Linked DNA regions of Oreochromis niloticus. The protein of the gene in region 2 interacts with the protein of the main gene of each other region in a pairwise test. Links are inferred from orthologs where the notes say so. Each region holds a gene or a part of one and is shown on either strand. Other genes may lie near its edges. The genes, in order: tprkb and tp53rk.

The links.
Region 1: the proteins of tp53rk (region 2) and tprkb interact in binary tests that used the Homo sapiens proteins (3 or more experiments, as listed by UniProt). The link is inferred for Oreochromis niloticus from reciprocal best matches to the Homo sapiens genes TP53RK and TPRKB.

The regions. Positions count from the first base shown.
Region 1 is NC_031981.2:4,864,417-4,881,676, reverse strand, and holds tprkb (EKC/KEOPS complex subunit TPRKB), read right to left. Parts: upstream 8,211-17,260; 5' UTR 8,086-8,210; coding exon 7,945-8,085; intron 7,786-7,944; coding exon 7,663-7,785; intron 7,551-7,662; coding exon 7,374-7,550; intron 7,067-7,373; coding exon 6,980-7,066; 3' UTR 6,128-6,979; downstream 1-6,127. Other genes in the region: trmu (mitochondrial tRNA-specific 2-thiouridylase 1), read right to left, coding at 100-222, 323-429, 1,453-1,618, 1,796-1,877; uncharacterized protein srr, read left to right, coding at 2,426-2,603, 2,680-2,861, 2,997-3,127, 3,244-3,392, 3,470-3,559, 3,682-3,923; alg10 (dol-P-Glc:Glc(2)Man(9)GlcNAc(2)-PP-Dol alpha-1,2-glucosyltransferase), read left to right, coding at 8,603-8,767, 10,206-10,403, 10,478-11,539. UniProt on the Homo sapiens protein: Component of the EKC/KEOPS complex that is required for the formation of a threonylcarbamoyl group on adenosine at position 37 (t(6)A37) in tRNAs that read codons beginning with adenine.
Region 2 is NC_031970.2:36,229,657-36,245,739, forward strand, and holds tp53rk (EKC/KEOPS complex subunit TP53RK), read right to left. Parts: upstream 8,586-16,083; 5' UTR 8,523-8,585; coding exon 8,300-8,522; intron 7,623-8,299; coding exon 7,135-7,622; 3' UTR 6,988-7,134; downstream 1-6,987. Other genes in the region: slc2a10 (solute carrier family 2, facilitated glucose transporter member 10), read left to right, coding at 12,356-12,398, 13,203-14,471, 14,610-14,732, 16,036-16,083.

The DNA.
Region 1 (17,260 bases), on a different chromosome or scaffold from region 2:
GGAAAAAAAAAAGACAAAGTTCACTCACAGAAACAAAAATAGTGGAAATTAGTGTCAAAATCAGAGACATAAGAGGTATAAAGTGAAAGTCACACTTACGATTTCGGATCTCAAATCGATCTCTGAACAGCGTGGTGGGCGGAGCTGTGTGAGCCTGTTCGAAAACTTCGTCATCTTCCTGTGATGTCCTGGCATAGTGGCCTGTTGCCATGGCATCAGCACCTACAGGAAACAATAAATCTCTTGGAGTGTGTCTGAGACTTAAGTGATCATATTTTATATTTCAACCAATAAGCATGAGAATGAAAATAAAACAGCGTACCCAGGGTGTCGATGGCGTACTTGTGGAAGTGGTTAAATTTGATGTGCTTGTTGCATAGTATGTCTGGGTTTGGTGTTCTTCCCCTTTCATATTCCTTCAACAGGTTACTGCAAACCAGACAGAGAGAAACTGCATTCAGTGCTCAACACTGGATTTAAAAAAAACAAGTACAAAATTTGAGAGATTCCACATTCTGATCCTAGTTTTTGTTCTAAATCTCATTGAAGTCAATATCAATTTTAAATGTAAATCAGAACATTTTTCCTTATCAGGAACCCTGGAAGCTCGCCTCATATTGCACTTTAAGCTCTTCCAGCATGCACACAGTTGTTGCACATCTGCAAGCCACTTTGCAACCAGCCTCCAACTGAGCTCCTACTTTTTAATGCTGCATATGAATATTGTGGATAGCATGATGGTTTGATAGTTAGTGCTGTTGCCTCGCAGCAGGAAGGTAATGGGTTTAAATCCACTGACCAGCTGGGGAGGAAGCCAGGGAATCTGGAGAGAACCCACATAGGATTTATGTGGCGTCTGCATGTTCTCCTTGTGCCTGCATGGGTTCTCTTTGGGTACTCCGACTTCCTCCCACATTTCACAGGCACACTTTAGGTTAACTGGTGATTCTTAATTGGTCGTAGGTGTGAATGGTTGTCTGTCTGCCTGGATGACCTGCCCAGGGTGTAACCTTCCTCTTGCCTTATGACAATTGGGACAGGTGGAACAAAACAGGGAATAGATGTAGCCCTCTCTTCTGTGCTGACTGCCACCTACAGCTTTCCATGTATGTGCACAGAAGGGCAGGGAGCCCACACAACAGAAGCATCCAAATATAACTTACTGCACACAGAAATATCTTTGGGTATCGTGGTCCAAATGACCTGCAACTGTCTTTTTAGCAGCTCTTTAAACTAGTATGTTTAGAAATGATATGCTGAAAATCACTTTGGAGCATTTTCACAAAAACGGCATTTCTCAAATTTCATTGGAGATGGCGGCATCTGTACCGGACAAAGTATGTTGAACACAGCGCCGACAGGACGATATACAGAGGAGGTGGAAAGGGGATGGAGGCAGATGATAAGCTGCTGTGAGCCCTAAAGGCAGCTGACAGAAGAAGACAGAAATACCTGAAAACTTCATGCCAGTACTCTTTGACATAGGACATTTGATGAAAGGGGACATCCAGGCTCTGGCACACTCTGTATGCGTCCTCACAGTCCTTCTCTGTGCTGCAGACCCCCTTCTCATCCAGAGAGTCCCAGTTCCTCATAAAAACTCCAGTCACGTTGTAGCCTTCAAACAACACACAATCACAATGAGACTCACTTACAGCTTTACTTTGGTTTTTCTGACTTTATTTGGTTTATTTCTTTCATTCGTATACAGCAGCTTCCCCTGCCTGGCTAACCTTTTCCCATCACAAAGCCAGTGCAGGTGTGCTTCAGTGTTTCCACTGCCAGCTTTTCTCACCTCGTCTCTTCAGCAGTAACGCTGCGACGGAGCTATCAACGCCGCCGGACATGGCGCACACCACGTGCTTTATCAAGGCCATGTTTTCATATTACTGCAGTCTGGCTCTGAACACTTTCTCGCTCACGAAACTAGGACATTTCACCCAGCTGCTCTACAGAAGCCGCCATGTTTGCCGTCCGCACAGCAATAGCGTCCGACTTGAAACGCATTTTATGCCGGAACCATCAAGCTGCTGAGGAGGGAGCCGAAAAAGTTGTAACACTAAACTTCAAGCAGCTGAGTGAAAACAAATAATAAGGTCTGTGTAAAACATACCGAACAGAATAAATATACATTTTTGGTTTCGTTTAAGGACGAAACAAGTTGTTTTATATATAATTTAACTTTCACGTTTTTTCCTAATAAATCACAGGCTCGCGAACTGCTTACCAATTAAATCAACTCAATTCTTTACATTTTCCGTTGATTAAAACTGTGAACTCATGGTTGAGAGCTGCAGTGGTTACATATTTTGAATTAATCCTACAGTAACTGCAAAAATATATCAATTAATAAGTGTCTTTTATACATTTATGTAAAACTAAACTACTGGGTGTGATGATGTTTCTCTGTTTCTGACCCACCCAGATGGGTGAGGTGTCTGCAGACGCTGTCACTCTGGACATGCTAAGAGAAGCGAGAGAGACGGTGAGGAGCAGCCCTCTGGGTGTCATCAACACCCCCATGATCGCCTGGAGCCAGACCACCCTGCCTCTCAGCATCAGCTGCAACATCCACATCAAACTGGAAAACATGCAGAGAACTGGTTGGTGAAACCCACTTTGTTTGGCTTCCCTGACACTTTGCTGCAGATTTATTGATCTCCTGTTTTTGAATGACAGGGTCTTTTAAGATCAGAGGAGTAGCCAATCAGTTTGCCAGGAGACCGACGGGTGGCTGTTTTGTCACCATTTCTGCTGGAAACTACGGCAAGTCATTTGCATATGCCTCAAAACACTTTGGGTCAAAGGGCAAAGTGGTGATGCCCGAAACTGCCCCAGAGAACAAGTCCATCTTTATACAGGTCAGAGGTCGTTTGTGGCACAGTTAAGCAAAAGGCAAAAGCCTTAAAAGTTAAATACAGACAAATAAATTACTCCCTAATAGGTGTGAATTTATTGCTTTGTTATTTTCATGGAGTGGTTATTCTTGTCCTCAGAGTTTAGGGGTGGAGGTGGAGCGAGCTCCTACATCCTGTCTGATAAACGTGGTGAACCGTTGTGTTCAGGAGGACAACATGACCTTCCTGCACTCCTTCGATGACCTGGATCTAATTGCAGGGCATGCCAGGTACAATCAGGGCTGGATGCTAGTGCATAAGAGTGTTTTATCTTCGTCTTTTATAGGTAAAAATTCGATTTTTAATATCGCTGTCTTACATTAATTGTGTGTGCACATGCATTTAGTCTAGGTATGGAGGTGCTGGAAGTGATGCCGGAGCCTGATGTGGTGGTGGTGTGCTGCGGTGGAGGTGGGCTCCTGGCCGGAGTAGCTGCTGCCATCAAACTGTCAGGTTGCAGTAAAACCAAGATCTACGGCGTGGAGCCAGAAGGAGGTAAAAAGTCACCAACAAACTGATGTTTAGCTTGTTTTTGTGTGCAGAAACTTTAAGTGTGTTTCTGCTTAACACAGCTTGCACAATGTACAAAAGCTTCATTGAGAAGAAGCCAGTAGAAATGGACAGCAAGAGCATCGCGTCAGGTCTTGCACCACCTTTCGCAGGTAGTTTTTGTTAAATTTCTCTCCAGCATATCTGCTTGTATATGAACAGTTCTTTTAAAATTCCTTGACTTTCTGTTTGCGATTCATGAGAAAATAGAAGAGTTTTCTTGCTCCATCACCAGGCAGGCTGCCCTATGAGCTGTGCCAACGTTACGTGGAGGGGATCGTCCTCGTTAGCGATGAGGAGATCAAGGCTGCTGTGTCCACGCTTTACAGATCTGGGCTGGTAGTGGAGCCATCAGGCTCTGCTGCCTTTGCTGCCATCGTTAACAACAAGATCCTGGAGCTAGAGGGGAAAGATGTTGTGTGCATCCTCACCGGAGGGAATATTGGAAAATCCGAGCTTCTGAACTTTCAGGACTGACAAACTACAAATCTGTGCCAGTAATTCTCTCAGACAACAATTTAGAATAAACATTGTTAATACACGTTTTTACTGCTGTCGCAATTCTGCGTCTTTCTGGTATGTTTCTTATATTCTTAAAAGTCTGCACAGTGTGAGAGAGTGTGCTGATTAGAATGTGTAGGTAAGTGCTTGACTCTGATTGCTGATTGGGAATGACAGCAACTCAGCCATGAAGTGGTATACCACATAACATCCACAGAGCGGGGACAGCATATGGTGATGTGCATAGTGTGCAAAGACCACCACCTTGCTGCAGACCTCCAAACTTCATGGAATAGGTTTCCATGGCTGAGCAGCTGCATCCTAGCCATGGGCGATTGTGGCTCAACATTGTGGGAACAGTTTGTGGATGCCCCCTTTCTGTTCCACCAGGACTGCACACCAGTGCACAAAGCAAAGTCCATAAACACATGGATGAGTGAGTTTGGTGTGGAAGAACCTCAACCTGATAGAACACCTTTGGGACGAATTAGAGCAGAGACTGAGAGCCAGGCGCTCTCGTCCAACATCAATGTCTGACCTCACAACTGTGCTTCTGGAAGAACGGTCAAAAATTCCGATAAATCCCTCCTAAACCTTTCCACAAGGTTTGGAGTCTCTCTTCCACTCAAGTTCACATGTGTTTGAAAGCAAATGAGCAAATACTTCTGGCAATATAGTGCACCTCCACCTCTCCATACTGCAAACATCATAGTCCACAGAGAATCCTGCAAACAAGAAGGGGCTCAGTAATCCCCCCCCTTGAACCTATCTGTCACTCCTACTGCATACCTCACACATGTCCTGCAGCGCGCTCACTGCCACTCCTTACTTCGTCATGCAGTACCACAGTTCCTCTTTTGACAACCTATCATATGCTTTTTTTCTAGATCCCAAACTCCTGACCTTCTCTATACTTATGCAGCAACACTCTAAAAACTCTTTCTCAGCACAAAGCCATAACTGCTTCTCTGATGGCAGGGACATATTCAAGGATGGCAATTCCAGGAATCATGCCAGGAGCATCATCTTCAACCTTGGCTCAACCTCCACAGCATCCAGATCTTAACCCCACTGAGATTATTTGGGATGTGTTTGAGAAGACTTTACATAGCACGTCCTGTCATCGAGTTGACAAAAAATGAATGAAGCTCTGGAAATAAATGCTGTGACACTGCATAAGCTCATCAAAATGTTGCCCCGGAGGATGTGTACCATACTCAGAGGTAAGGGTGGTCCAACAAATTATTCAGAGTGTGTGACTATTTCTGGATGGGCAGTGTAGCTTATTGTGTTACATACTGTTACATTTGAAATACTGTGATTCTCATTAACACTTTGTTAATGAATAGTAATTACTTTGTAAACTATGAACATTAACATGATTTGCTGCAGTAGAATGCCAATTGGTGATTATAATGCAATGCTTTGTAATCTATAAGCATCTGAATGGTTATGATAGTTCCTGGTCCTCCTTCACTACGTCCATGAATCTTCTCTGAGGTCTTCCTCTTTTCCTCGTGTCCTGCAGCTCCACATTCAACATTCTTTATTAAATATTTCTAGTATTATCATCAACGGACGTAACATTTTTCAAACAAGGATCAAATACCTTATACTGAGTAAAAAGTGTTGAAATGTGTGCTATGAGAATTTTCTAATGTCATCAGAATGTGTTATTGCATCTTATCAGCTATATTAAAAAAAACATAATTACCAGTTTTATGAAACAAAACTGTAGAAAGTACAATTTTGTCAAACCTAACTCCAAACTTTTTAAAACAAACAGCAGATTTATTATTCATGCCTCCCCAGGCTGACAGCCATTGGCTGAAATTTGGCTCGACTGAAGTGTTTTCGTGATAGTGCTTCGGGCAGTTGAGCTTCTTTGTTTTTTAATTATTCAGAGGCCTGGCTCACATCCAGCTCAAAGCAATTTGGATTCATAATTCAGCTCTGCTGGCAAGAGAGCAGCTTTACATCGCTGTCCCCATCAGTCACAAAACTAACCTTCAGTGTACAGAACCAAAAAAACACAGTGAATGAAAAAAGTTCAAAAGGTCAAATAAAACAAGAAATAGGATGATGCTAAATAATAAGAAACACAAAGATTTCTACCTACGTCATGGCCGCGGCAAAGAAGAGATTAAAAAAGAATAAACAAAGATGAGTTCACCCAAAGGTTTAAGAAAAATAAGATTTATTTTGACTGAGCCCAGTGTACAGAGATCAAGACTGACAATTTCTGTTGGTTTAAACTTAAGAAGGTACTGGGCTAGTATTAAAAACAGACATAGATCTATTGACAACAGATCTATTGTTAAACTGCTGTGTGAAAAGAAAAAACAAACACATTTTCTCACATATTATTATGCATATCCTGGTCTTACAAGGTGTGATCATAAAGTTCTGCAACTCTGCAAAAACAAAAACAGTCCCCCCTCGAAGGTGGTCTCTCGTGCAGCACTGCATGAATCCATTAAATTTGGCTTCATTTTAGAGAACAGAGTCGTATCTGGCTGTATGTAACCAGTGGTGAGCTACAATTTGGTTGGTGTGACCAAAAAACCCCCAGCCTTTGGTGTTTTCGATTTACAGTGTACAGATTTACGTCATTTCTACTAAATGCCATCCCTTGAATGCCTTGGGATATTAGATCCTTGAATAAGCCTGACCTTAGTGCACAACACATGAATGATGGGAAAAAATCGTCTAGATCCTGATGCGTTGCTTTTGGACTGTGTGCTGTTTGGTCGGTGGGCTGTAGGTGGACAAGCCGCTCTCATAACCTTTGATGATCCTCCGAGTCAAAGCTGTTTCAGCCTGATACAGGAGTTAACATTTGAATTGCTCCAGTGGACAGAATGGGACGTTCAAGGAGTGACCAAAAAATAGCAGCGGTGCTGGAAGTAGTCCAGTCCTGCACAAGGACAGTGTGTTGAAGTGGAGCTCAAAGCGTAGTCTTTCATTTCTTTAAGGGTGAAGTAATAAAAGTCACAGAAGTTTATAATGGCACCTAGTATATCCCGCCAAACCTACATAACATCCTTGGTGGCCATTCTGCATACGACCGCATCAAGCAGACTCCCACATTTCTCCTCCTGAGGAGTGACTTTGTACAGCTGTAATGGAGGGAAAAAAAACTTAATTAAAATATTCTTTAAATTCATCAAGCAAAGTGTTAAAGGGGGAGTAAAAAAAACTGCATTTGATTATGTACTCTGTGGGTTATAACATGATTTTAGGCCCAGTTATTTTTCTTTTGTCATCTCTTTCCTGAATTTTTCATTTAGTCCGGGACTGGATATAATCCACATCTGAGAATGTTTTGGGAATAAAGCAACATTAGGAGAAACAACTGTGCAGCCTGTCACCCCCATAACATAACAAGATACAAGTGTGGAACGCAGATGAATTAGAAGCAGCGACCTTTTTGATCTTTGTATGGTCTGACAGTGAGGAAAGCTCTTCCACTGGAACCTGCCGGCCCTCCACCCTGGCTGCAATGTCTGACACGTCCTGGGACTCATCTTTGCTGTCAACCATGACGATCAGAACGGAGTCATCGCCATCTGAGATCCCAAATCTTTTAAAGGCGTCTGAGATCTATATTAGTGGAAGCATATGGATAGCTTACATATCTAAAACTACATTAAGAGTAACTTTTTTTTTTTAATGGGAACATGCATCACAGAAATATCTGCTTCTCCTCACTTACATTATTAGTAGGGGACAGATTGAAGATGATCTCCGAGTAAAGAGTTCTTGTCTTCATTTTTTCAACTTTCTCTAAGTGAACGGCTTTATTGGCAGCTACCAGCACTTGAAAAGGATCCACCAGCTGGAAATGGAAGCACAGGGTCAACGTGAGAAAACAGCAAGACTCCAGGTAATTCTCAATGTTCCTATTTCAGTGAAAGATGCGAGTACTTAACGGGTTTATTAGCCTGTGTTTTATACTTTTAACAAAGCACTGCTAAAACAGACGGAAAAGGCTCACCATCGTAGGGTTGATCAAGGCACCGTTTATTTTCCCTTCCATGGCGCTTTTTTTCAGCTCTGCAGCATTTTTGACTTCTTTGAAGAGCATCTGGGTCACTCTGTGGTCGGGGAAAAGCTCCAGCTTTTGTATTAGATGCATTCTGAAAACACACACACACACAAAAGGTTCGATAAAATACTATAAACGGCACACGGACCACGGTGCTTCACGTGAAGTCTCTACACAGCGGGGGGAACCATAACACGGTGACACCGCGTCAGAGGAAATCTCCTCCTAGGAGGAAAAAAAGGATGTCACAAGGTAGTAAAACGGCAGTCAATAACATAATCATCCAAAATAAATCATACATATATGTAAGGCAGATATTATTCGACAGATAATCCTACGCTAAAGTATTTAGCACAGTACCGGAACCTATGGTTATACACGAGTTTCCGTACCGAGCCTATTTCTGAATCGGACCGCCAGCTGTCAAAAATCACAAATATTCTTCCGTTTAGCAACGGTGGACATGTTTCAGACAGTTTTCCTCTAAATTAACGTTTTCCCGCGGTTTAAATTCTCGAGTCTAGTCGTTATGCGAGATACTCTAAAGTCTAACAGCTAGCTCTGGTCTGAACTTTTCTCAGTTTTACACCGTGTTTCGTCGTCAAACATGGAGAAATTTGAAGGCTACATGTTCACTGCTCTGTGCAGCACCAACTTCTTAATATCCTGCCTGCTGTTCTCCAGAGTGACCCGCGAGCAAAGGGAGCCCTACATGGACGAGATCTTCCACGTCCCCCAAGCTCAGAAGTACTGCCAGGGAAAATTCAACGAGGTACAGTGTGAGTGATGAGGGTGAGCCCGCCATTATCAGGCGGATTAAGGTTAGCTAAGAGCAGCGGGGCTTTCGATTAGGGTTAATCTCCACACTGGGCATATAGGGCAGCATCAGTATGGTATGCCTGTCTGGATGGGTTATATTTGTTGATGTCACGTGGGCCAGCTTTAAAAAGAGCATGGGACTTTGTGGTGAAGTGAAGCTTAACTGCTCAGGTCTGTATGAAGCTCTGTAAACCTTACATTACTAATGGCTATCTGTAAAGACATGTTGCAGTTTTTTCATCCTCATATGTGACGTGATGCATGGCAGAGACTGACAGTGAAAGCAGTGTGTGTATTAGAGGAAACTTGGCTAAACGATGGTGTTTTAGTCAGGGATCCATGAGAGAGAGAGAGTGAGTTTTCTAAAAAGTGTTAAAGCCTTGCAGAGAAAAGATTGGGGTGGTTATCATTCATCACAGCCCTGCCTGGTTCACATGCAGCAGAGTAATATGATGCCCGGGTCCTAGCAGAGGCCTGCGAGGCTCCAGGCACGTAGGACAAGAGACCAGTCAACGACCGCCTTTTTGGATTTTACGGATTGGTAACGCCTACCCGGAGTCAGCAGTTCAGACAGATGGTGACTTGGATGAGAGCAGTCTTTGACGATGATTTGGGGCTGTTCGCAATGTCTGTGAGGGGAGGAAGAGAACAACAGTGTTGGTGATTCTCTGGAGGGCCTTTTTAATCTGCTGCTACGAACCCCATGTACCACAGTGTAATGAACTATGATCTCAGCGGTGGGTCTGTAGAAGCACAGCAGCAGGAGCATTTAACTGAGATGATTCTTCCCGAGTATCCTCGGGAAATGCAGGCCCTGCTGGGGCTTCTAAATGATGGCTGAGGTGTCATTGGACCAGGAGAAACCATTAGACCCGTGGATGGATGAAATTTAAATTACTTTATTTGTAAATTTGTGTCGTCACATACTCCACTGGACGATATTCATATGTATCAACAGACTGCTATATCATTTGGGCTGTAATTTTAAGATAGCATATAGGTGAAGTTCATAAAAAAAAAAAAAGCTGGATTGTCTTGTGGCTCAGGAGCCAGAGCAGGTCGTCTATTAATCAAAAAGTTGGTTGTTCGATGCCTGGCGGTAATAATGAACTGTGAGTGCTGATGCAAACACAGGGTTTTTTCTTGAATACTTGTATCACAGACTAGCCAAGAAAACTCTGACAGTGCTATGAAATATCCCTGTGGAGGGCCACAACAATAGGATTACAAAGGGATACAATTAATATTGAGCACCGTGAAGCTCAGCTTATTGGTGTGGCCCTTCACAGCAGAAGCCCCCCCCCCCTACTCAAGAGCCATTATCCGCTCACTCCACATGATAAGCGAACTTTACACCTTGTGCCGTGTTAACATGTTTTTAATCCATGCAGTGGGACCCGATGATCACCACTCTCCCAGGCCTTTACCTCGTCTCAGTGGGAGTCATCAAGCCTGTGGTCTGGCTCACCGAACTGACAGGCGAGGTGGTGTGCTCCACGGCCATGCTGCGCTTCATCAACCTGCTCTTCAACTGTGGCAACCTTTACCTGATCTATCTGCTCCTCTGCAAGCTGCACCTCAGGGAGAAGGTAAGTCCAGGACACGAAGACAAGACCACAAGTGACTTATTTTTTTTCTGATGTCACATTAACTTCTCTTCTAGACGCGGACAACCTCACGCCGAGTCCTGTCAGCGCTGTCTTTGTCCACCTTTCCTGTGCTCTACTTTTTTAACTTCCTCTACTACACTGACGCTGGATCTACTTTCTTCATCCTATTCACCTACCTCATGACCCTGTACGGCTGCCACAAGGCCTCCGCGCTGCTGGGCGTCTGCTCCGTGCTCTTCCGTCAGACGAACATCATCTGGGTGGCGTTCTGTGCAGCCACTCTGGTGGCAGGGAAAATGGATGACACCTGGAGGGTGGAGCATACAAAAAAGAGGGACGAGAAGTCTGCACCGTCTCAGATCCCGCTGTCATTCAGCGGAGCTAAGAGAATCCTGCTTTTCACTCTGGAGTTCCTCACCTCACCCAATCACATAAAGGCGGTGCTGTTGGTGGCCTGGCCTTACGCGCTGGTCGGCATTGGCTTCCTGGTGTTTGTGGCGCTCAATGATGGGATAGTGGTTGGCGACAGGACGAGCCACGAGGCCTGCCTCAACTTCCCCCAGCTCTTCTATTTCTTCTCCTTCTCCCTGTTCTTCTCTCTCCCCGTCTCGCTGTGTTACCACCGCGTCCTCCGCTTCCTGCAGGCTCTCAAAAAGCAGCCTTTGTTTTTCCTCCTGGTCACCGGCATCTCTTTCCTCCTGGTGTGGAAATTCACCTTTGTACACAAGTACCTCCTGGCTGATAACCGCCATTTCCCCTTTTACGTGTGGAAGAAACTTTTCCAGAGGCACGAACTGGTGCGTTTCCTCCTCATCCCTCCATACATCTTCGCCGGGTGGAATTTTCTGGACTCCTTTAAATCGCGCTCTCTCTTTTGGAGTGTGGCTTTCCTGGCGTGCCTCGTGGCTGCCACAGTCCCGCAGAAGCTCCTGGAGTTCAGGTACTTCATCGTTCCATACCTGATGTATCGCCTGCACATGCCCCTTCCCTCCCTTCCCAGACTCATCGGGGAGTTCCTCCTGTACACGGCCGTGAACGTTGCCACCATCTACATCTTCATCGCCAAGACCTTCCACTGGCCAGACAGCACAGCAACGCAGAGGTTTATGTGGTGAGGAAAAGACTAAAGTGGATCATTTCAGGATTTTCTCCTGTGTTACAGGGGACCAGAACATCTTAAAAATCAAAGCAAAGCCTCTGTTACATCTCAGTATCAGACCGACACGGTCATATCATTTTTATACACTCTAACCACACAGCTTTGTTCAAAAGGTGTAAGGTTTTATTCTCCCTACAGACAGAATCAGTATCTCCAGTTTGTATTTGACTGGCAAAAAAAAAGTACTTTTCAATGACACTCAAAACACTCATAAATAAATCCTGCCAGTCAACTGTGAATCATTTCATGACTGAATGAAATTGATATTAACAAAAAATGTTAGTAATAATAACAGTGGGAGATCTCAGTATTGTAAGAGCGCTGGTGCAGATCTAAATCATAATGAAGAATTTTCAATATACTGTACTCGCATGTTGTTTTTACCCCAAACAGCTTTGTTTCCCCCTTAAAGCATTGATTGAAGCATTTCAACCTTGGAATAAAAAAAATTAGGCTCTCAACTAAATTAGCTTCTTTTGAGATTCATAATTCTGACATAAGAAATGTAACTGATTCAGAAAATCAGAGGATTTAATTTGTAAATTCAACAAAATGTTTATTTTGTTGTGTCAAGTCTAGTTGTTAGGCTTCCTTGTTTTTGTACGGCAGTTTTTTCTACAGCACTTGTAAAATGCAGTACAACAAAATCACTCTTTTGCAAGTTTAATTAAAGAGACCAAAAATGATATAATCTTAATGTAAAGTTGAGATTTCTTTTGATGTGGGATGGTTTTTTAAAGCATTTTGTGCCAGTGATGGACGCTGACAGAACTTTATAATAATGGGACTATTTGAAGATGTACATACATTTTTACCTCGATATTCACTATGATTAAGCCATACGAGTCCACTGGAGGTGACTAAGATGTGTGTCGAGATGTTCATTGTTAATTTAGACGTTTTAGTTTCTGCTCTTCTGTATGTGCCCTCGTGCTCGATTTGTGGATGTGGTTAATTTCGCTGCTTATTTGTTGTTGTTTTTCTTTATGCACGAGATTTTAATCATAAAATTCATCCTAACGAAAATCCGATCACGTTGGTTTGTGACTCATGCAATCAAAGTCAGTCAAATCTGAATGTGTAATTTGTCGTGTTTAGTTTGAATGCAGTTTTTCTTTGTTCACATCAAAGGTGTGACCTGTGTGTAGCTGTGAACACGAGTACATGTTGTGCATTGATGCTGTAAGTATGCTGCTCCCATCTTCATTCAACTGTGGAATAAAATATTCAAAGTCAAGTCTGTAGAGCACTCGTTTGAGTTTCACGTGAAGATGGACAATAGCATTATATGTGCACTCTACGGTCACTTTATTAGGTACACCATGCTACTTCCTTGTTGAAGCTTCTTTTGCCTCCTCAAGATGATCTGAGCTTTTTAACATGCTGCATTCTCCTGTTGGAAGCAGCCGTCAGAAGATGACTACACTGTGGTCATAAAGGGATGGACACGAGTATTCGGGTAGGCGGAGTTAAAACTAAGGGGACTAAAGCGTGCGAAGAAAATATCCCACACATTTGTTACACTACCAGCAGCAGCCTGAACTTTTGCTACAAGCCAGGATGGATCCATGCTGTCATGTTGTTCATGCCACCAGGCAACGTTTCCCCAGTGTTCTGACAGGCGTGTGACCCGGTGTGGTCTTTCCTATCAGCTCGAAGCAGTCTGGCCATTCTCTGACCTCTGAAATCTGCAAGACATCTTCTCTGCTGCTCGCTGGATAGTTTCTGTAAACCCTCGAGATGTTTGTGTGGGAAAATCTCAGTCAATCAGCAGCTTCATCCAGACCAGCTGCCACCAACGTTGTTCATTGGCCATTTTTTTCCCCCTCTACACTACTTCCTCTGTGTTTCGACAACAAAAATGTATGATGAAAACAATAAACACCTTTATTAAACACCTCGTTATGTTGAAGGAACACAACAGAACAGAAATCAAGTCTTTTAGAACTTAATCTGATTAATCTAATTAATATTGTGACTATTTCTCCTTACTGACATCAAGTGCTACTAACACAGAGTTTGTCTCAGTCTGACTCACCGAGTTAACGGATTAGCCAGAGTCAGCCACCAGGAGGCGCTATAATGCAGCGCTAGAGACCCCTATGAACATGAAAGTGCAATTCATCATGAAGTAAATGAATTCAGCATCTGAGCAACACTGGAAGGTACTCAAACATTAATCACTAGATGTTTTGTTTGAAGTTGGCCTTGAGGAGAGATTTTTAAGGTTTAAACTGAATCAGTGAATTCATATAAAGGGCCTGACTCTAAGAAACACATTTACAGGTGAGCATTTTTATTGTTTTACTCAAACAGTATCTGTGATGTAAGATTCCTACTTTTAGCAAATGTAGCACTTTGAGGGCCGCTTTTGTCGCATTTCATGTTTCCTGCATGTAATATTTCCAGTGGGTGGCCGGTCTGGGCTTTTCTACAGAGCCATGCTGCTGTAATAAGTGCGGTATGGTATTGTCTTGCTGAAATAATAAAGGCCTTCACTGTTACAGGCACCATGTGGATGGCAGCCTATGTTCCACTGTGAGGTATATTTAACGCAATACAAATTCAATTAATTTGTATACATTTGTTGAATTTGTTGAGACTTTCTGGGGTGACACCTTTGCACACGGTCATGTTATTAACTGCAGCAGTTGTGCAACATTCAGTTTTCTAACATTACACACTTTAATAATGAGTACCAGGGCTAGTAAATAAAAATAGAGCCTTTAAACGATTAATGCATTGCATCTTTATGTTTTATGCACACAGGGTCCTGACTTTTTGGAAACACTGTGGTAACATTATTGAAAAGGTCAATGCTAATTTAGAGCAGTATTTTAGAAGTGCAGACTCAACTGTAAGAAAGCAGAAAAAACGCATGGCAATGATTGCTCTCCATGTCACCTGTATCGTTACTGGATTCTAATTACAGCAAGAAACACGGGGCCAGCTCACAGCTCATAAAAGTCACACTGGGATGATTACACAAATGTTGATTGCACAGCTCAGCCACTCCGAGCCTGCTGAAAGGACATACTGTATGTACTGTTGTCTCCGGAGCAGCGTTCACCGCATCTGCTCGCTCACTTCATGGTTTATAATGTTTTCACTTTTTCAGGTTTGTCCTCCTTTCACTACATTGATTTTTTTACCCTGCCAATTAATGAAAGTACAGATTAGTCTTTATCACCAGGGCGTTTGGGCATTTTGAAAATGACAGTCTCAAAGGGATCATTCATATATTCAATTCATTTCCTGATGCAATCAATCAAAGTTTGTCCTTGATGATGTGGAATATCTTATTCATCACCGACTGTGTTTCAGGAAGACCTGATAAAATAAGAAAAAGGATGGAAATGATTGACACCAAGTGTGAGTAAGTATTTCAGCAAACAGAAAAAAAATCCATCCATCCATCCATTCGCTTCCGCTTATCCTTTTCAGGGTCGCGGGGGGCGCTGGAGCCTATCACAGCTGGGAAAAAAAATTCAACTCTACAAAATGTAAATATCAAAGTCAAACTGTGACCATTCACCTTTTCCTGCCAGTATTGTACTTTTGTGTGCGGAAGAGTCATAGTTAGCTCTACTTCAGTAAACCTGACTTGTACCTTTTTTCCTAAGTAAAATCTTGACACTGCACATGTGCAGTAGAGCACATGTGAGGATAGTGTGTGGCAAACATGCAGACACTCCTATTATTACGCTCTCTCCCAGGAAAGGCCTTGAATTTGTGTGACCTTCAAAGTTTGCTTTCAGTAACTGGAATATATGACTTGGGTAAGTTTTGTGTTTTACGTAACGTTTCCCAAGTTACCAGATTGTCTATGAAACGCAGTCTAAGCACACAGTGCACAAACTAAATACAGCTTCAGCTCAGTCTCAGTGCAGCCTAGCAACGCACAACTTGGTTCAAAGAATAGGTGTGCATCTGTACACACATATCAGTTACAATGATACATGTGTGCTGATATTATCTCTCAAGAAGCAGTTTTTAAAGAAGGTAAACAAGTTTGAGGTACAACAAATTACACAAGAACTGGAATGGAAATCGCTTTTATGGAGTGATGAATCCAAATTGGCCATTTTTGGTTTAAGGATAGAGATAAAGCACTGAGTGTCTATAGCTGTAAAACATTTTTCAGCATCACAATGATGCAAACAATCAATGCAGTAAAAGCACACCAGGAAAGAGACAAACACAGCGCAACACTATGAGTCATGGATCGGCCTCCCCAGAGCCCGGACCTCAACATTACTGAAGCAGAGTGGGATCATCTCAACAGAGAACAAAACAAAAGGGAGTCAACACCCAAAGAAGAGCTTTGAATGCTTTTCGGGAAGCCTGGAGAAACATTCCTGAAGACTGCGTAAGAAATGACAAGAAAACTGCCCAAAAAAGGCTGTTTTGAAGAATAAAAGTGGTCACAAGCTTGAAATACTGACTTTCAAGCTTGTTACATACAAACGAGGGATGACTCAAGATTTTGTATTATAAATAGTAATAATTTTAAAGGTGGGCACCAAATGTGGAAAGTGGACGATATCTCTGTTATTTGATTAAGGACATGATCTGTATCGTAAATATTTATTTTTCTGTCAGTGGCTGGAAAACAGGATTTTTTTCATTTACACTTATAAGAAGAAATTTGTTGGATTGTACACTCAAAATATGCATTTTCTCACAGAACAGAGTTTAAAATTTGTATCGGTAATGAACCCCCAAACCTCCACTGCACCACAGAACGAGCGCAACTCCCCTCAAAGTGCAAAGACTTCACAAACGTTGATGTTTTATGGCGTTTTTATTACAGCACACTGTGACGTTGTAGAGTGTCATATTGAAAATCTAAAAAGTGTTTTGCACAGCTCTCCCCATGCCTTTTCATATGATATATCACTCTTTTTTTTAACATCGACTATGACCTAGAAGTCAAATGCTTGGCCGGCTGAAGGTCTAATTTATCGCTGCAAAGTTTGACAATGATCCATAAAAAGCTGTGGGTAATATAAAGTTTTTACTGATTTTCTGACTGACTGACTTTGACCTCGACCCGATTGTCAGCAAAATTGAATCAGCTCGAGCTGTTCTTGGTATCTACCATCAAACAACATTTTAAAATGATATCTTGAGCAGCTGTCGATGCTAGGCTGCTAACAAACAAAAAGCACCTCCCAGAGGACAAATGTGCTGCTCGCAATAGTCTTCGTCTCACCACAAATCATCTACTTATGTAGAGATTTCAGAATTCGTAGCTTCCTCTACTCCACCAAGCTTCTTATGAGAAATAAGAGTACATCAAATTATTCTGTCTGTTCTGAGACAGAAACACAAGAATAGCAGGACATAAAATACACAGAGCTGAGACTTGAATTTGAACACTGAGACGATGTTTTGGTATCGCTGAGGTCTATTTATAAGCCCACCAAGTTTTCCATTGTGTCCTCTACTTATTCCAAGAACCCATTATTTGTTACAAATAAGAATCAGTGCAGTCAGAGAAAACTTCGGTTCTTTTTCCAGGAGCTAAATTTAAAAAGTATGAATAAATAGTCTGAATCTAATAATAATGTTAAATTGAGTTCTGCCACATCTAGGAAACAAAGGAGCAACCTTATTTACAAGTCCGACATAGTTTACATGTCAGCTTAAGCAAGTATCTGAGACTCTAAGCAAG
Region 2 (16,083 bases):
ACAGTATGTGTCTGAACCCCTCTGTATCCTCCTGTGCTACATCATCAGTAAACACTAGTGTCCCAGTGCCACTAACAGCCATGCACACTGCCTCTGCTGTGTTTTACAGATGATGTGGTATGCTTTGGATCATGAGCTGTTCCACACCTTCTCCATACTTTTTTTTGCCATCATTCTGGTAGAGGTTTCAGTCTGTCCAAAGAATGTTTTCCCAGAAATGTGCTGGCATTGTTTAGATGGGTTTTTTTTGTTTGTTTGTTTGTTTTTTAGCAAACTCTTATCGAGCTTTTCTCTATCCTTGAGGCGTATGAGTGGCTTGCACCTTGCAGTGAACTCTCTGTATTTATTTTCATGCAGTCTTCTCTTTACAGTAGACTTGAATATCGATATGCTTCCCCCTTGGAGAGTGTTGTTCACTTAATTGGCTATTGTGAAGGGGTTTCTCATCGCCATGGAAATAATTCTGCAATCATCCACCACTGTTCACTAGTGCTTCTTTCTTTCTCAGGATGTACCAAAGCGTAGATTTTGCCACTCAATTTATTGTACCAATATTAGGAGTGGGTTTTTTTCTGTTTTCTCAGCTTAAGGATGGCTTGTTTTCAATGGCATGGTGAGGTCCTTTGACCATCTGTTGTCTGTTCACAGCAAAACCTTCCAAATGGAAGCACCAAACCTTAAATCAGCTCCAGGCCTTTTATCTGCTTAATTGATAATGACATTGCCCACACCTGCCTGTGAAATAGCACTTTGAGTAAACTGTCCAATTACATTTCAAGCTGAGAGTCTACACATAACGTTCAATGTCCATTGTCAAACTACAGTAAACAGGTAAAAAAAAAAACGAACTTGTGTTAGTGTTCTAATATATCTGGCCTCTGAAAAAACTACTTTCATTGTTATTTAATGACAATCATTTACAGTTTGGTCCAAAGGCAGTGCATTTGAACCAAGCTACTGTGCCTCCTAGTCTGGTATATAACTTCATATATATAAATTATGGTACAGAACTTAACTATGTCATGGAATATGGATAAATAGAATTTCTACACAATCATTACTTCTTTATTATAAATAGGATTACATGTGCCTACTGCACTTACTGGTGCACGTGGATTGGGTCACGTGTTTCTCCAGTTAAACTTTTTAGAGTTAGGATGCATGGCATTATGGGATTCCAACACAGTCTCATGACATTTCTTGAAATAGCTGTAATATTTAATCTATTGTTATTTGTTCCTGGAAACAAATTTTATAGTTTTTTTTCTGTACCAGTTAATGTCCATTTACACGTAATGCATATTTCCCACTTTTAAAGTTGCATTTTAGTTATAAGAGGAATTGGGGGTGGAGTTAAAAACTTTTGCCACCGTGCTGTGTATGACAAGTTCGAGTCATACACAGCACAGATTTTCAAACAGCTTGTTTGAGGTTAGGGATTAAAAACTTGTAATTAGAAAAAGATTGTGGTTTGGGAACAATAGTGGCCACATCTTTTAAAGCTTTCTTTTCTCAGTGTGATGCTTTCTGTGTTTCTCTGGGGAAAAAAAAAAAAAATCATGCTTCTGACATGAAACATCCTCCCTATTAAAAGAACTTCAATTACAAATCCATGCTCACACTCACAAAAAGCTTGACAGTTTGTGTGCACATGAACATGTTTTCTTATGAGACTGGGCTGGGGATTTCCCCACTGAGCTGAATTCTCAGAGTGCCCTGTCTGATAATCTGCTCCCAAAGCCAAAACTACTCACCTTTAACCTTGACTGTGGTCTCCCTTCTGAAGCTCCTGTCCTTGCACCACACTACACACTGGTATTTGGTTTGGTCGTCAGTAACAGTCAGAAATACAGGCAGGACAGATGTGTGATTTTTGCCATCTGACTGCAGACAAGCCTGTTCGCTGAGATCCTCAGTCTCCAGCAGGGAATCTGAAGAACCTGACTCTGACTGAATCACTGAGTCTGGACTGGTTCTTAGTTTAAACCATTTCACTTTGAGCTCCCACCTTGTGGATCCCTGAATGGTGCACATCAGTTCTGTGGGTACCTGAGCGTATATTATGATGGGCTGACTGATTTCCGAAACATTAAATGGAACTGTGAAGAGAAATAGCAGCATTTTCTTTTCATTTTAACAAAATCAAACTTTTTTGAAATCAAACAAATTTTATGTTATCTAGGTAACACTTTAGAGGGATGGTAATAAAGGGATAAAAAAGGCTCCCTAAATACAGAATTGAATTTAAAATCCTTCTCATCACATACAAGGTCTTGACTAATCAGGCTCTGTTTTATCTTAAAGCGTTCATAGTATTGTATCACCCCAATAAAGTAATTCACTTTCAGACAGCGGGCTTACTTGTGGTTCCTAAAGTATTTAAAGGTAAAATGGGAGGAGTCTTTCCCCCACTCATGTCTGTCCCGTGTGTAGCAAGTGAAAATAAAATAAAATTAAATTAAATTAAATTTAAAAAAAAGAAAGATCTAGGCTTATCCACAGCATGTCTTTGTCCGGTCATCAATGGATGAAGAGCAATATTGGCCAAACAGCACTAACTAAAATGGGGATTTATTTCTAACACATTAAAAAAAAAAAAAAAAATTGGTTTTATTGGATCATTTATTTAGAAACTGGAAAATATGACATATGATAATATGTTGTTTTATAAAAATATGTTAAAATATTCTTGTTAACAAGGTAGTTACATTTTCTTGGAAGAAAAGAAAAACAGAAAAGTTTCTGTTTTTTTCACAAATAAAACTCTGAATGTAACTGTGACGGAGTTACACCGTCCCGGGCCGCAGACAGCTGATCTGGGCGCATACACGCACCACCACCATTAGTTTCTACAATTACCGTGGCTGCGCCTCTTTTCGTCGACCGGGCGGATAAACAAAAAGGGGTGAGAGGTATTTTGAGCGGCGCAGAAGGTGGCCAACATATTTTTCCCGCTTACCTTTAATAAAGCCGGTCACGTAGACTCGCTGTGATCGCCGATTATACGAGTGGTTATGCAAGCCGATGGTATGGTGTTCCGGGGTTCAAATAGTGGGTTCGCGCGCGCTTGAAAAGTCACGTGAACTGCATTATTTTTGTTTGGGTTTTTTTTGTTATTGTGAAACACTGTAGGCTGCCTGGAATTGGCCATAAATGTCTGTATATACATATATATGTATTGTAGGAATACAGCTGGAAATAAGCTGAGGGGAAAAAGAGTGTTTTGGGAAAAGAAATAATAAAGAGATGACTATTATGCCTAGTGGGAGGGGCAATGGGGTATAAAAGAAGGCTGTCAGGGCCTACCTGGGTATTCTGTGAGATGTGACAGAGAGGGTAACATGCAGACTGGCTCAGCCGCTTGTGTTTTGTATATAGATGTTTGTTTTGTGTTGAATTAAGTTAGTTTTCTATTTTCTTTGTAAATAATCTTTTTGTGCACCTGGGAGGCCGGCAGAATAAACTATCCACACTGAATGCTTCCTGACTACGCCTGCATTTGTTCGGGAGAAGTTTAGGAGAGGACCCCACGACAGTAACCATGAGGTCAACTCCAATTTGGTCTATTCAGAGTAGTCTTAAGCTGTAGTTTTTCCGTTAATTTACACATAGTTGCCAAATTCGTTAAATCTGTAGACATCTTTAATGTGAACATCTGACATTCTCGCATTCAAATATGACCAAGCAAAGAAAATTATCAAAATTTAACAAAAAAAATGTGTTTTTGTTGATACATACCTTTGTAAAAATATCTGTAGAGATATAAAGATCCTCCAGTAACACAGGTGACCAGTAGCAAAGTTATTACACTTGTAACAGCTATCACAGTGGCTGTACTGTGAAGCAGCTCTGGTGGAGCTGAAGGAAAAGCACATGAAAGTAACATAGTAAATATTAAATGGTTCTTATAGTGCTTTTCTTCTCTACAGGAAAACTCAAGTGAACTACAGGCACTTTTGCTTTGTACTTTGCTTTTTTGCTTAAGCGCTTTCTGTCTAACACTCACACACACTCATACGCCGATGGACACATCAGAAAGCAACTTTTAGTTCTTGCCCAAGGATACTTTGCCATGCAGACTGGAGCAGCCAGGGATCAAACTATCAATCTTCTGATTACCTGTGCTACAGTATACCACTATATATCTATGAAATCAAGAGCTCCAAAGAATAAATAAATAAAATCCCACCTTGAACAGCCAGTGTTACAGATCGGTTGTAGAGACCATTGTAGGTCTGGTGCTCAACTTGGCAGATGACATGTATCTCTCCACCCCTTAGTACTGAGGAGTGCAGCGTGATGCCACTACGAATGCTGTAGGTGCCATCTGGGTTGTGTACAGCCAGCTCATTGCAGACACGGGACAGTTGGCCCAACCCTGCATGGATGGTCTGGGTGCCATTTTGGATCAGCCACGTCACAGCCACTTTCTCTGGGTAGAAACCTGTTACATCACACTGTATGGTTTTCTCCTGTCCTTCTCTCACTGTTGCCTTTTCTGGGAGCAACACTGAAGGCTGAGCTGAAGGTGTACGGTTCAGAAACAGATATTACATTGTTATCATTAAAATTATTTAAAATGATTGTGCTTGAATTCGACAATTTGCACAAAAATGGATATAATGTCACTAATTGTTTTGTGCATCTTGGTCTTGAAGCTATAAAGACCATAAAGTCCTCAGTAACACATTTATTATTAATCAAGTGAGCAGTTGGGTAATTGTCTTAAAAAGAAAGCAGCAAACACAACTGGCAGATCTCCATACCGTGCTGCTGATAAGCTGCACCCTGGAATTTTTACAACGTTGAGACAGTTCATTTAGGTTTGCAGGCAACTGTTTGTGCACATATATATGTATAAATATATATATATATATATATATATGTATATTACTGTAAATTTTATGAGAATACTACTTTTTTATAGTTCAGCCTCTTCCAGAGGGTCACCTTGTTTAAACTTTGAGAATAAATTCATACATGTATAAATTTCATACAGCGTGATGTCTTAAACAAAAAATAACCTACAGCTTGTCTCTTTGGTGAAGCTTGCTGACAACTGAAATGTCGCATTTTAAATTACCTGCAACTTCACTTTAAAGTTTCTCCTTTTTTGTATTATTAAGCTAGATAAACACTGTGGCTTTCTTGGCCCATATAACTCCCAGGCGTACCGAGCACTTTCAGAGCAGTGGACTCTGTGTAGATCAGAGGGTTGATGACTCTGCAAGTGTACAGCCCTTCATCTCCTACAGTGACATTATGAAGCTGCAGGGACGCATCACTCTGCCGCAGGCACGTTTCATTCACCACAGAGCCTTCTTTGTACACTTGAGCTCTTCCATCTTCCAGCGTGTACACCATGCTCTTCTTTGCATGTTTGTCCACCATGTTCCACTCAATACTAAGAGCACTCCACTCCACTAGCTTATGCGGTGTGTCGAACATGCAGCTGAGCGTTACCTCATTGCCCACTAAGACACTGAGCTCTCTGGTGATCTCAGCTAAGGAACCTGGAAGGAGTCATGTAGACTATGAGAATGAAAAGGACAGAGCTGTCATTTAGAAGCTGGAACACTAACAAACACTCACCTTTACAGTACAAAGCAAGAACCATGAGTTTAATCGTCATGTTTGTAATACGCTGCTGATCCATGGTGTCTCAGATGTTACCGTCACTGTAAATTAAAAATGAAAGTGACATGTGACACATTTGTTTTTACTTGGGTGTGTTCGCACAATTCAAACACAGTTGACTAAAGATCACGTGGTGCGTTACAAATCCTGTGTTATTAAGCATGGTTGTGGTGGCTAAACATTCACCTTAAGTGTCTGCTTATCAGTCATAGTGCACCTCCTCTTGGACTTTGACCTGCCTACCTGACTTCTAGTGCGATTCAGACTCAGAATTTTAACTGCAGAAGAAAACCAAAGAGGCACAAGGAGAATCTGCAAACACTATCCACAAAGGCTCCAGCCAACCATGAAATTCAAACCCAAAACCCCTTTATGTATGTCGTCACCAGTAAGTTCTGGTTTGGTCTAACCAAAGTTGGTACTTGTGAAAATTTCTGGTCATTTCTATTCCAAAGTTTGTTCTCCATCCAACATGTTCACTGTACTGCTGTAGGGTCTTTACCTTACAATATAAAGCACCTTGAGGCAACTGTTATTGGAATTTGCTGCTATATAATTAAAACGGACCTAAAGTCACTTGAATAGCTGACTGTTCTCTACAAGTAACCTTCTCCGTGATTTAGGAAACACTCATTACTGCTGTCTTTAAAATCCTGCATCACTGCTTCAGGTATCAGTGCTCATTTCAAAATGAATGCAGTAGTGTTATAAAGTTCTTAATATAAATTGATCCACTTATTGTGTGTGTTTTCATAAATTCAGTTTACCGGTTCCATTTTTCATGGAACACAAACTACTATATATATACATACTAAAATGTATATATATACAGATGTATACATCTGTATATATATATATGTATATATGTATACATACATATATATATACAGATGTATATATATATATGTATGTATACATACATACATTTATTTTTACATATATACACATACGTATACACACATATATATATATATATACATATTATTCTGCCCTCACACTTAACTAGGCAGACAGACAACCATCATCCCATGTAGAAAGACCACACCGTTGTTCCTTTCTGGCAGATTTATTTGATTGGATGCATAGCATGGCTTTGTTGAAATACATTCATCCATTCATGTATGTATGTGGTATATACCATGTATATAGGATTGCAAGTTCGTGATATATATATATATATACATACACATACACACACATATATACACACATATATATACATATATAAAGAGAGAGAGAGCAACTGTGAAACTTTTTTGCTTACGCAGTCACTCAGACTTTTGGAACAAAGTGAAAATAATAGTTTAGCTTTATATGTAACATTTTTATATAAATCACCACATAAACAGCAAGATCTGAGGCATCATTTATTAGAAAATAGTTTAATATTCAATTACAATTTATGTATGTTAATTTACAGACTGTGCACAACAGTGTCTTAATTTCAGTATTATGAAATTCCACAAGTTTGCCCCTGTACACACATGGGGAGTATCTTCACCCCACCATTGACCTCTTCCTTCCCCTCAACCGAACCTCGTCAAGCTTTTTAATGACAGCTGATGACTTCTTGGATGACGCCTTGTAGCTTTTCAGCAGCTTCTCAAATAGTTCCTCTGTGTTGGGGTGGGTACTGAGGAAGGCTTTCTCCAGCACATACAAGTCCACACCCTTATCTTCAGGCAGAGCAGAGATGTAACTCAGACCAAAATCTATGAGGACCAGGTCGGATTCTCCTCCCTCTGGGCTGGGTCTCAGCAGCATGTTGGAGGTGGTCAGGTCTCCATGGATGACATCTTCATCATGCATTTTAGCCAGGACCTGCCCCACGCGCTCAGCCAGCCTCTGCAACTTCAGCTCCTTGCAAGAGTCAGACTGTTGAGCAGATGCAATATAGTCACGCACAGTTGAGGAACCCACAATCTCCTCCAGGAAGATACAGTGGCAGGTATAGTCCACAAAGTAGACTACAGGGGCAGATATTCCTGTGAAGAAGAAAAAGTCTGATTTTACAAACTTTGTGTGACTACAATACCAATCAATCATCGATTAAGGTTTGTGTGTGGCTAAAAGATGTTTCAGTGTGGGTGGAGCAGAGTTTAGAGAAAATGTTCAAATCCATGCTGAATAAGGGGCACAGATAACACAGAAGTTGAGAATGCACAACAAAACATAAGAGATAAAATGTGAGAAGGGTTGAATTTGTAATTTTTTATGAAGTTGACTTTATGCAGAAGCTGTGACTAAACATCTGTGGAAGCATTTGCTCATCTATTGTGCCCCCTTGTGGAGAAGGGGTTTGTAGACATCATATACCCACTATGAGTTATGTAGGGATCACTTTCTTGTATTTGAATGAAACAAGCAAAGTAATAAACACAGTTCACTTTGTTGTTAATCTACTAATGGCTGCTTAATCATTTAGTCACAAACCAGAAAACTAAATATTGACAGACCTGAAGCTTCCGTCTCTGCAGATTAAATATCGTCTGGTGTTCAGATAATAAAAGCAATTTAGCTGAAAAGTCTGGCTTAATCATTGACTCAGAAACTAACGACCAGCAAAGCCAACAGTCAATCCAGTCGGTTAGTTGGCTACAAATATTCTTAAACCGCCTTCGGGTGGTGCTAATTTGATCACTTCCACAAGCGGAGGACTTGCCTGCTCTCCGACACCGTAATATGGCGCGGACCTCCTGCACGGTCCTGCGGTGTGTCAGCTTTTCGTCTAAGGCTGGGTGTCTGTAGCGTTTAGGGAACCTTTCCTTCACTATGGTTGGCCTTCCCAGAAACTCGGCCCGGTATACCCGGGCTTCTGCCCCTTGCTTCAACAACTCTGCTTCCCTGAGGAACTCAGGGACCGCCATGTTGTTCTCCCGCGCCATGTTTACTTCCTCCTCCACGCTGTGCGGTCCCTCCGTTTTCCTCCTTGCTCTTTTTTACGTCTGCCACCTAGCGACCACAAAAATACCTACACATAAATACAGAGAAAAGTTTTCGATGTAGAACACATATACACAAATAATACAGAATATATACACAGATAACCTATGACTCACAAAGTTCACGCCATCTAAAACCGGCTTCTTGAACATGACACTGGGTTCACTGTACATAAAGAGGCCTTCATTGTTAGTATTAATGCAATAGACCACCTTTTGAATGTAGTGGAGCGGTGATTCAAATCATGGAAATGACAAATCTGCAGCAGCTGTGTGATGGCAGCATATCAGCATGGACCAAAATCTCTGAAGAATGTTTTCGTCACCTTGCAAAAACAATGCTTTTGAAAACTAAGGCAGTTATGGGGCCAAAAGGCGGTACAACACAGTAGCACCAAGTGGTGTACCTAATAAACTGGCCAGTTAGTGTATTCATTCAATTCGATTCATTTATATAGTGTCAAATCACAACAACAGTCGCCTAAAGGCACTTTATTTATAATGTAAAGACCCTGCAGTAATAATAGTATTAACATTTTAAGTTTAGTTTCCATTGATACAACCTGTTACATCCATATCAGCCATTGTCAAATTGAAGACAGCCGTTGGCCATTCTGCTGCTTACCTAAACCCTTCAATCCCAGTTTTTGTTTTTATTGCTTTGTCGCAATCATCCTCACCTCTGCTTGGTGAGGATGATTTTATTTAACAGCTTTACTCCTGGCACCTGATAACCACTCCGAGTTATTTGCCATTACTGACAAAATACAAGATGGGGTCAGGATGAAAAACTGTTCAGCAAATTAAGGATAAAGTAGAATTTGTAAATCCTGTGGCTTTGTTATATCACTTTTCTTTTCTTTTTTTTCTTTAATAACTCAAAGATCCCTGAATCTACATTTCTGAGAGGATTATGAAAAAGAAAAGACACTGGTGGAATTTTCAAAGGAAAAAGAAAACTTTCTTTATATCCAAAACTTCTGGTAGTTTTATGTCATTGTTGTCAAAGGAGTTTGCAAAGAAAAGCGTCTGGACTTCTTTAAGTTGCTTGAAGACGTTTCACCTCTCATCCGAGAAGCTTCTTTTTTTTTTTTTTTTTTTTTTTTTTTTTTTTTTTTGGGTGAAACGTCTTCAAGCAACTTAAAGAAGTCCAGACGCTTTTCTTTGCAAACTCCTTTGACTACGATGACCTGGATGACTGAGAACCTTCACAGACTTATGTCATTGTTATTTATATCACTGTGACTACAGGTTTTAAAATTTGTTTAGACAAAACTTCAAAATAGCTGCCCACAGTAGTTTCAACATGGATGGTCTTGAATGAGGGTGGTGAAGCTCATTTTTAGAAATTTGAGATCAAATTGTCTTCTTTATATATACTTTGGAAGACTCCTACAAAACCATTTTAAAAATAATTCTATAGTACATTCTGTCCAAAAAAAATAATCCATTGGCAGGTTCAAACTGAAGACAAATGGCAGCTTCCTGGCCTACCAGATGTTGATAAATTTAAAAGGGGATGGCAAATAGGAGGAGAGGAGGAGAGGGGCATGAAAACAATGATAAACTTGTGTGTGGCAGGAAGTCGACGTTTATAGACACACCACTGGAAGGGGGATTTGTGGGGTGTGGTCCTGCTCTTGAACTTCAGATACATTATCTCCGGTATGATAGTGAATTCCATATTAAGCACATATTTCTAAGGTACCATCAGCGCAACATTTTCATTGAAAATTAAATCGATCATATGAAGTAAGAGCAGAATTTCCAGTTTACCAAACCAGAATAAATGGCAGGCACACACAAACAGAGGTTGTTAAACAGTATTTCTGTTCAGCTACAATATAGTGTAATTAATTAAGGCAAGCCTACAGTGTATACAGTATATAGATTGCTTACATATCTCTTTTTTTAAACGTAAGAATATATTCTACAGCTTTAATTATTCTAGAAACCTTCAGTGTCAGCACTGCAAATTATGTGATATTATATTATGTTTACTGCACTGACATATCACTATCATCACCAGTAATTATATCACAGTTAATAATACGCGCAAAATGCAGTACGAGTATGTTTTTAACACTTCAGATCTTTATGCTACTCAACTCAGCACGTCACTTTCACGTTAAATGATTTCATAACGGGGTGTGGGGTTTTCTTTTTCGTCATTAATGTGTGTGTGTGTGTGTGTGTGTGTGTGACAAAGCGAGCGGACTGGTCCTTCTCTCTGCTCTGGCCGGCTGTGGGCGGTGCTTGCAGATCCTCTGCCTGGATTACCTTCCCGGGAAACTTCCATAGCTGACGACCTCTGGCGTCAAAACTTGGCCAAGAAATTCTTCTTTGCAATTCGACACTGCTGCCACGTAGCCCCAACTTCCTGGAGGGCCAGAGGTTTTCCAGGAGCATTTTTGTGTATTGTTTTCTGCTGCCAGAGGTGAGTCCATTTCTCTGTCCTACCCAAAAATATGTAAATTCACAACGGATTGCCCTGTGCGTGCGTGTGTGCGTGCCCACTGTGTCTGCTTAAATACGGTGGGAGAGATGAATAATGGAGCTACATTTCTCCACAACAGAAGAAGCTGGAGCGTTAAAATAGGCTGCAAGAGAGTTGTGAAGAGGAATTTTACGGAATTTAGAATTTTACGCAGAGGGAGAAGAATATGGTGACATTTACGTAACTAAAAGTAAAAATGCTATTGAAGTGTTTTATAAGGAAATATTTTACTTTTTACTGTCATGGTTTTAAGTGCGAAACCCAGCCGTGCTACAGATTTCTAAACATGGTATTTAATTCCAGGTGGATTGTTATTATTATCATCATTATTATTATTATCATTATTTTTGCAATAATAGTCAGAAACAAATATAATAGTTGTATACCGTATTTACTGCCTTACTATCTAAAAAGCACAGCAAATTTTGTAACTTATGAGAGTAACTTATGAAATCATTCTAGTTGCAGATTTTAAATATTTAAATATTTAATGAATTGAAAGATTGAATGAATCCATCTTTCACACAAAAACGTTTAACAAAAAAATTAATTGTTTTAAGTAAAGTGATGAAAAGTTACTCTGTTAAACTAGTTAGGTTATTCTCATAGAAGGCTCTTATACACCTTGGACTGACATGCGGCTAGCACAAAAAGACAGACGACTCTGCCAACATATGTCAAAGTTTCAGTTAAAGCGTTAAGTTGAATCGTTGTCTTTTGTATGTTAGTTATGAGCACTGTCCAAGTTATTGATCAGTGAATGAACTGTTGAATGACTCATCCACCAGTCAGGAAAGTTTGGATGTTTCAGTGACAGTTCAGTGTTCCAGCTACTGAATACTGAAGCTTGTCAGTGATAATTAATGGCTTCCAGAGTCAGCAGAGACACAAGTGCTTTTTAACTGCAGTAATGGTGTTCCTCTCTTGATATTTCAGAGCGACACATCAAATTCTCCACTGCCCTGTCACTGTCAGGTGACAGGATGTTTGGCAGAATTACACTTTGACAAGCTAACTGCTTTCTACACAGACATGTTTTATTTCATTCTTTTTATACCTACTTTGCATGGACTCCCTAATGAAATCATTGTAATCAACAAGAGCGTTGTCATGGCAGCGGTGCTGCAACAGGCTCTGATGGGCTTCCTTTGATTTTCTGTCAGCAGGGCTTCCTGTGGGCGCCAGAGCAGGAGGACAGCACACGAAATGCAGATCATCTTTTTATTATTTCCCATATACTCTACAGTGAATGTCTTCTGAAAGATGGATTTAGAGCTGCATGGTCTGGCTTAAATGTGCACATAACAAGACAGAAGCAATGAGTAGGTAATTTTATGTAAATTAGTTTACCACAATAAAATGCAGATCTCTACTGTGACATAAAGTCAATTGGTGTAAATATTGTGTAAAATGCATTAGCGTTGACTAATGTGATCTGCCAGTGCAAATGCATGCTTGATTGTTCTAGCTGCTGATAGCTCACATTTCACACTGAAGCCCTGAATCTACATTCAGAACTTGATTATTGAACAGCACAACATCTTTAATTACTCAAAGGTGCAAAGGTGAAAATTAAATCACTACATACACACATATGAAGGGAAGACTGAACTCCAGCAGGTTACATCTTCATCTTTTTCTGCCTCATTTGCATTTCACTCAATAGATTCTGAACATCAGAGAACCACAGGTTGATCACAGTGACCAATGTGGCTCATTTATTAGGGTACTTTCTAATGCTAAAATGCACCTGTTGATCTAACGTCATCAGCAAGATGAAGTTGTAATACCACTTGCTGATGATGTCAGGAGTTTAGTAAACTGTAAACTAACTCCTGACATCTGAAGGATTTAAGATTTTGTCCAAATAACATCATCCAAGTATGCACCAAACCAAGCTGTTTCAAGTTCTCTCTTTATTTCTAGACGCTAACCCAACAAACACAAAGAAAAAGAATGTTTCCAATTCAGTTTACCACGAATAACATAAAATGAATGGAGGCAAATCTTATAACCTTTCAGTAGTTTTCTTCTGTGTAATTCCTAACAACTGAGATTATTTGGGAGGCAATACATTTTCTTTTATACTTTGAAAATTAACCATCTTAATTTTTCTTTCCTCACAGGTCGTCCTATCACCCCACTGGCCAGTGTGGTGTCTACTCTGGGCGGACTTGTCTTTGGTTATGAGCTGGGCATCATATCGGGTGCTTTACTGCAGCTCAAGGCTGATTTCAGGCTGTCGTGCATTCAGCAGGAGGCGCTGGTCAGCTCCTTGCTGATAGGAGCCTTGCTGGCCTCGATCATTGGCGGCTGCCTAATTGACCGTCATGGCTCCAGGAACTCCATCCTCATCAGCAATGTCATGATCCTGACAGCCAGCCTGGTTCTGCTCATCAACTCATTCTTAGCACTGGTTATAGGAAGGATCACAATAGGCTTTGCCATGTCTGTATCCTCCATGTCCTGCTGCCTCTTTGTGTCTGAGGTAGTAAGTCCAGACCGCAGAGGTTTCCTGGTAACACTGTATGAGGCTGGGATTACTGTGGGCATCCTGTCAGCTTATGCCATTAACTATATCCTGTCTGGCTCTAAAAGAGGGTGGAAGTGGATGTTTGGTCTAGCTGTGGTACCAACACTGGTACAGCTCATGTCCATCTGCTTACTCCCTTCCAGTAGTAAGGATTCTTTCAACCAGAGTCAGTGCTTTCAAAATGACAGGACTGAAGCCCAAGAAGCAGATGACTCAGAAGTGCAGTCTAGCAAGAGAAATAAGAAGGTTCAACACAGCACTTTCTACCTGTTCAAGCGCCAGGACAATATGAGGACTCGGACTGTCATCGGGCTGGGATTAGTACTCTTTCAGCAGTTCACAGGCCAGCCAAACGTACTCTTTTATGCCTCCACCATCTTCCACACAGTGGGATTTCAGAGTGACTCCTCAGCAGTGTTGGCATCAGTTGGGTTGGGATTGGTCAAAGTGATTGCTACTCTGATATCCATGGCGTTTTCAGACAGAGTGGGCAGAAGGCCTCTGCTCATCGGAGGCTGCTCTGTCATGGCTCTGTGCCTAATAACCATCGGACTCCTCAGTGGACATTCGCAGGTGACCGCTATGAGACCTTGTAATTCTCAAAACATTGACGATAACGAAACACATGCATATCACTCACCTGTTGGCAATGACTCTGTTTTTGATATGTCTCTGGCTGGAAGCCACTCTCTTTTTAAAAACACCACACAAGATAAAGATGTAGTGTTCAATAAAATCGGCCACATTTCTTTGGAACCCACTCCAGAAACTTTTCCTAAAGTCCACGGCAAAGTATTCAACTGGATCATCCTCCTGTGTATGATGGGTATTGTCAGTGCATACTCTGTTGGATTTGGACCAAGTGTGTAAATTCACTCAATATTATTTACTTTATAGATTTAAAGCTTGAAATAATTTCTGTGTATTTGTCAAGCATAGCTTTACCTCCAATACAATTTTTACCTGTGGGTTATCATAACTTTTTCTTTTTTTGGATCAGTGACATGGCTCCTCCTGAGTGAAATATTTCCAGCTGCTGTTAAAGGAAGAGCATTCGCATTCACCAACTGCTTCAACTGGGCTGCAAATCTGCTGGTCACCTTCACCTTCTTGAATGTTATTGGTGAGTTTTGGAGTTTCAATAGCACTATAGGTTTTAAAGTAGCTAGATGTTTACCTTTAGTTTACCACAAAAAATAAATGAATGAAAAAATCATAATAATTATAATAATAACATGCTTCCAAAACAAATGTTCATTACATCTATTGATTTCATGATACATGATAAATGGACTGATTCTTATATCAGTCAAAGCCCTCTATACAACATGCCACATTATCCCATTCACACAAGCACTGTCTCTATGCTTTGAAGTGCTTTCTAACTGCCAGTCACACACATTAATACTCCAATTGATGCATCGGAGAGCAACTTGGGGTTAGTATCTTGCACAAGGATATTTGCAGAGTAGGGGGAGCCGGGGATTAAACCACCAGCCTTCCGATCAGTAGATTATCGGCTCTACCTCCTGCGCTACAGCCACCCACAAAAATGTGGAACGCTTCGCTTTAGTATTGTAAAAAGCGAGTTACTCTCTCATTCCCACCTCCAGTTTTTATCAGATTTGCTTCTGGCTGTGGATAATACTCAAATACTACAATTATTTGTGCTTCTTGAGATGGGAATTCGTGATTGGTGTCATGCTAGCATATAAAAGTTGAAAGCTGCTTGAAAGCTTGTTAACTGTCAATTATGTGAAAATTCGGAGTGACTTGTTTATAACTGGAGACAACTCTGAAAGTGTGAAATATGGAGAATTATACTTTATTTTTTTCCTTTTTTTAAACTAAGATAGCTATAATGTTGACTTTTAAATGAACCCAACCTTGACCCTAAAAGTTCAGCGTGAAATGTGATGAGCTGGGTCTCCTGTGCAGAAGGATAATTTGCATGAAGTTAATAGTATACCAAGATAAAAGATCTCCAGTTTGAAGTTAAATGTGTTGCACAAAATAGTTTAATATTTTTTAATAATAAATAAACTCAGAAAATGCAAAATATAAAATCTATAAATGCAGAATTTTTTTTGAAAGCTCAAAGTTTAACCATTAACATTACTTGTTTGATTTAAAATCCACTGTTGTGATTTACAGGAGCAAATTTCTTTTTCTTTATTTATTTTCATTATTCAAAAACTTATGGCCCTAGTTGTATGTCATTGACCTAGAACCCAACACACAAATGGCAGCCTGTGTATGTAAAACTAGTTATTGAACATTTAGGATTTTTAAAATAAAAGATTAATGTTCTTTTTAAATAATTGCTTTAGTATGAGAGGGGATCTTCAAAAACATATCAAGACCCACAAGTGTAAATATTTTTTTGAACATATTAGCAAAAAGAAATGTGTGTTTTAATTCTGCAGATATGATTGGACTGTCAGGGATGTTTCTTGTGTATGGGCTAACTGCTG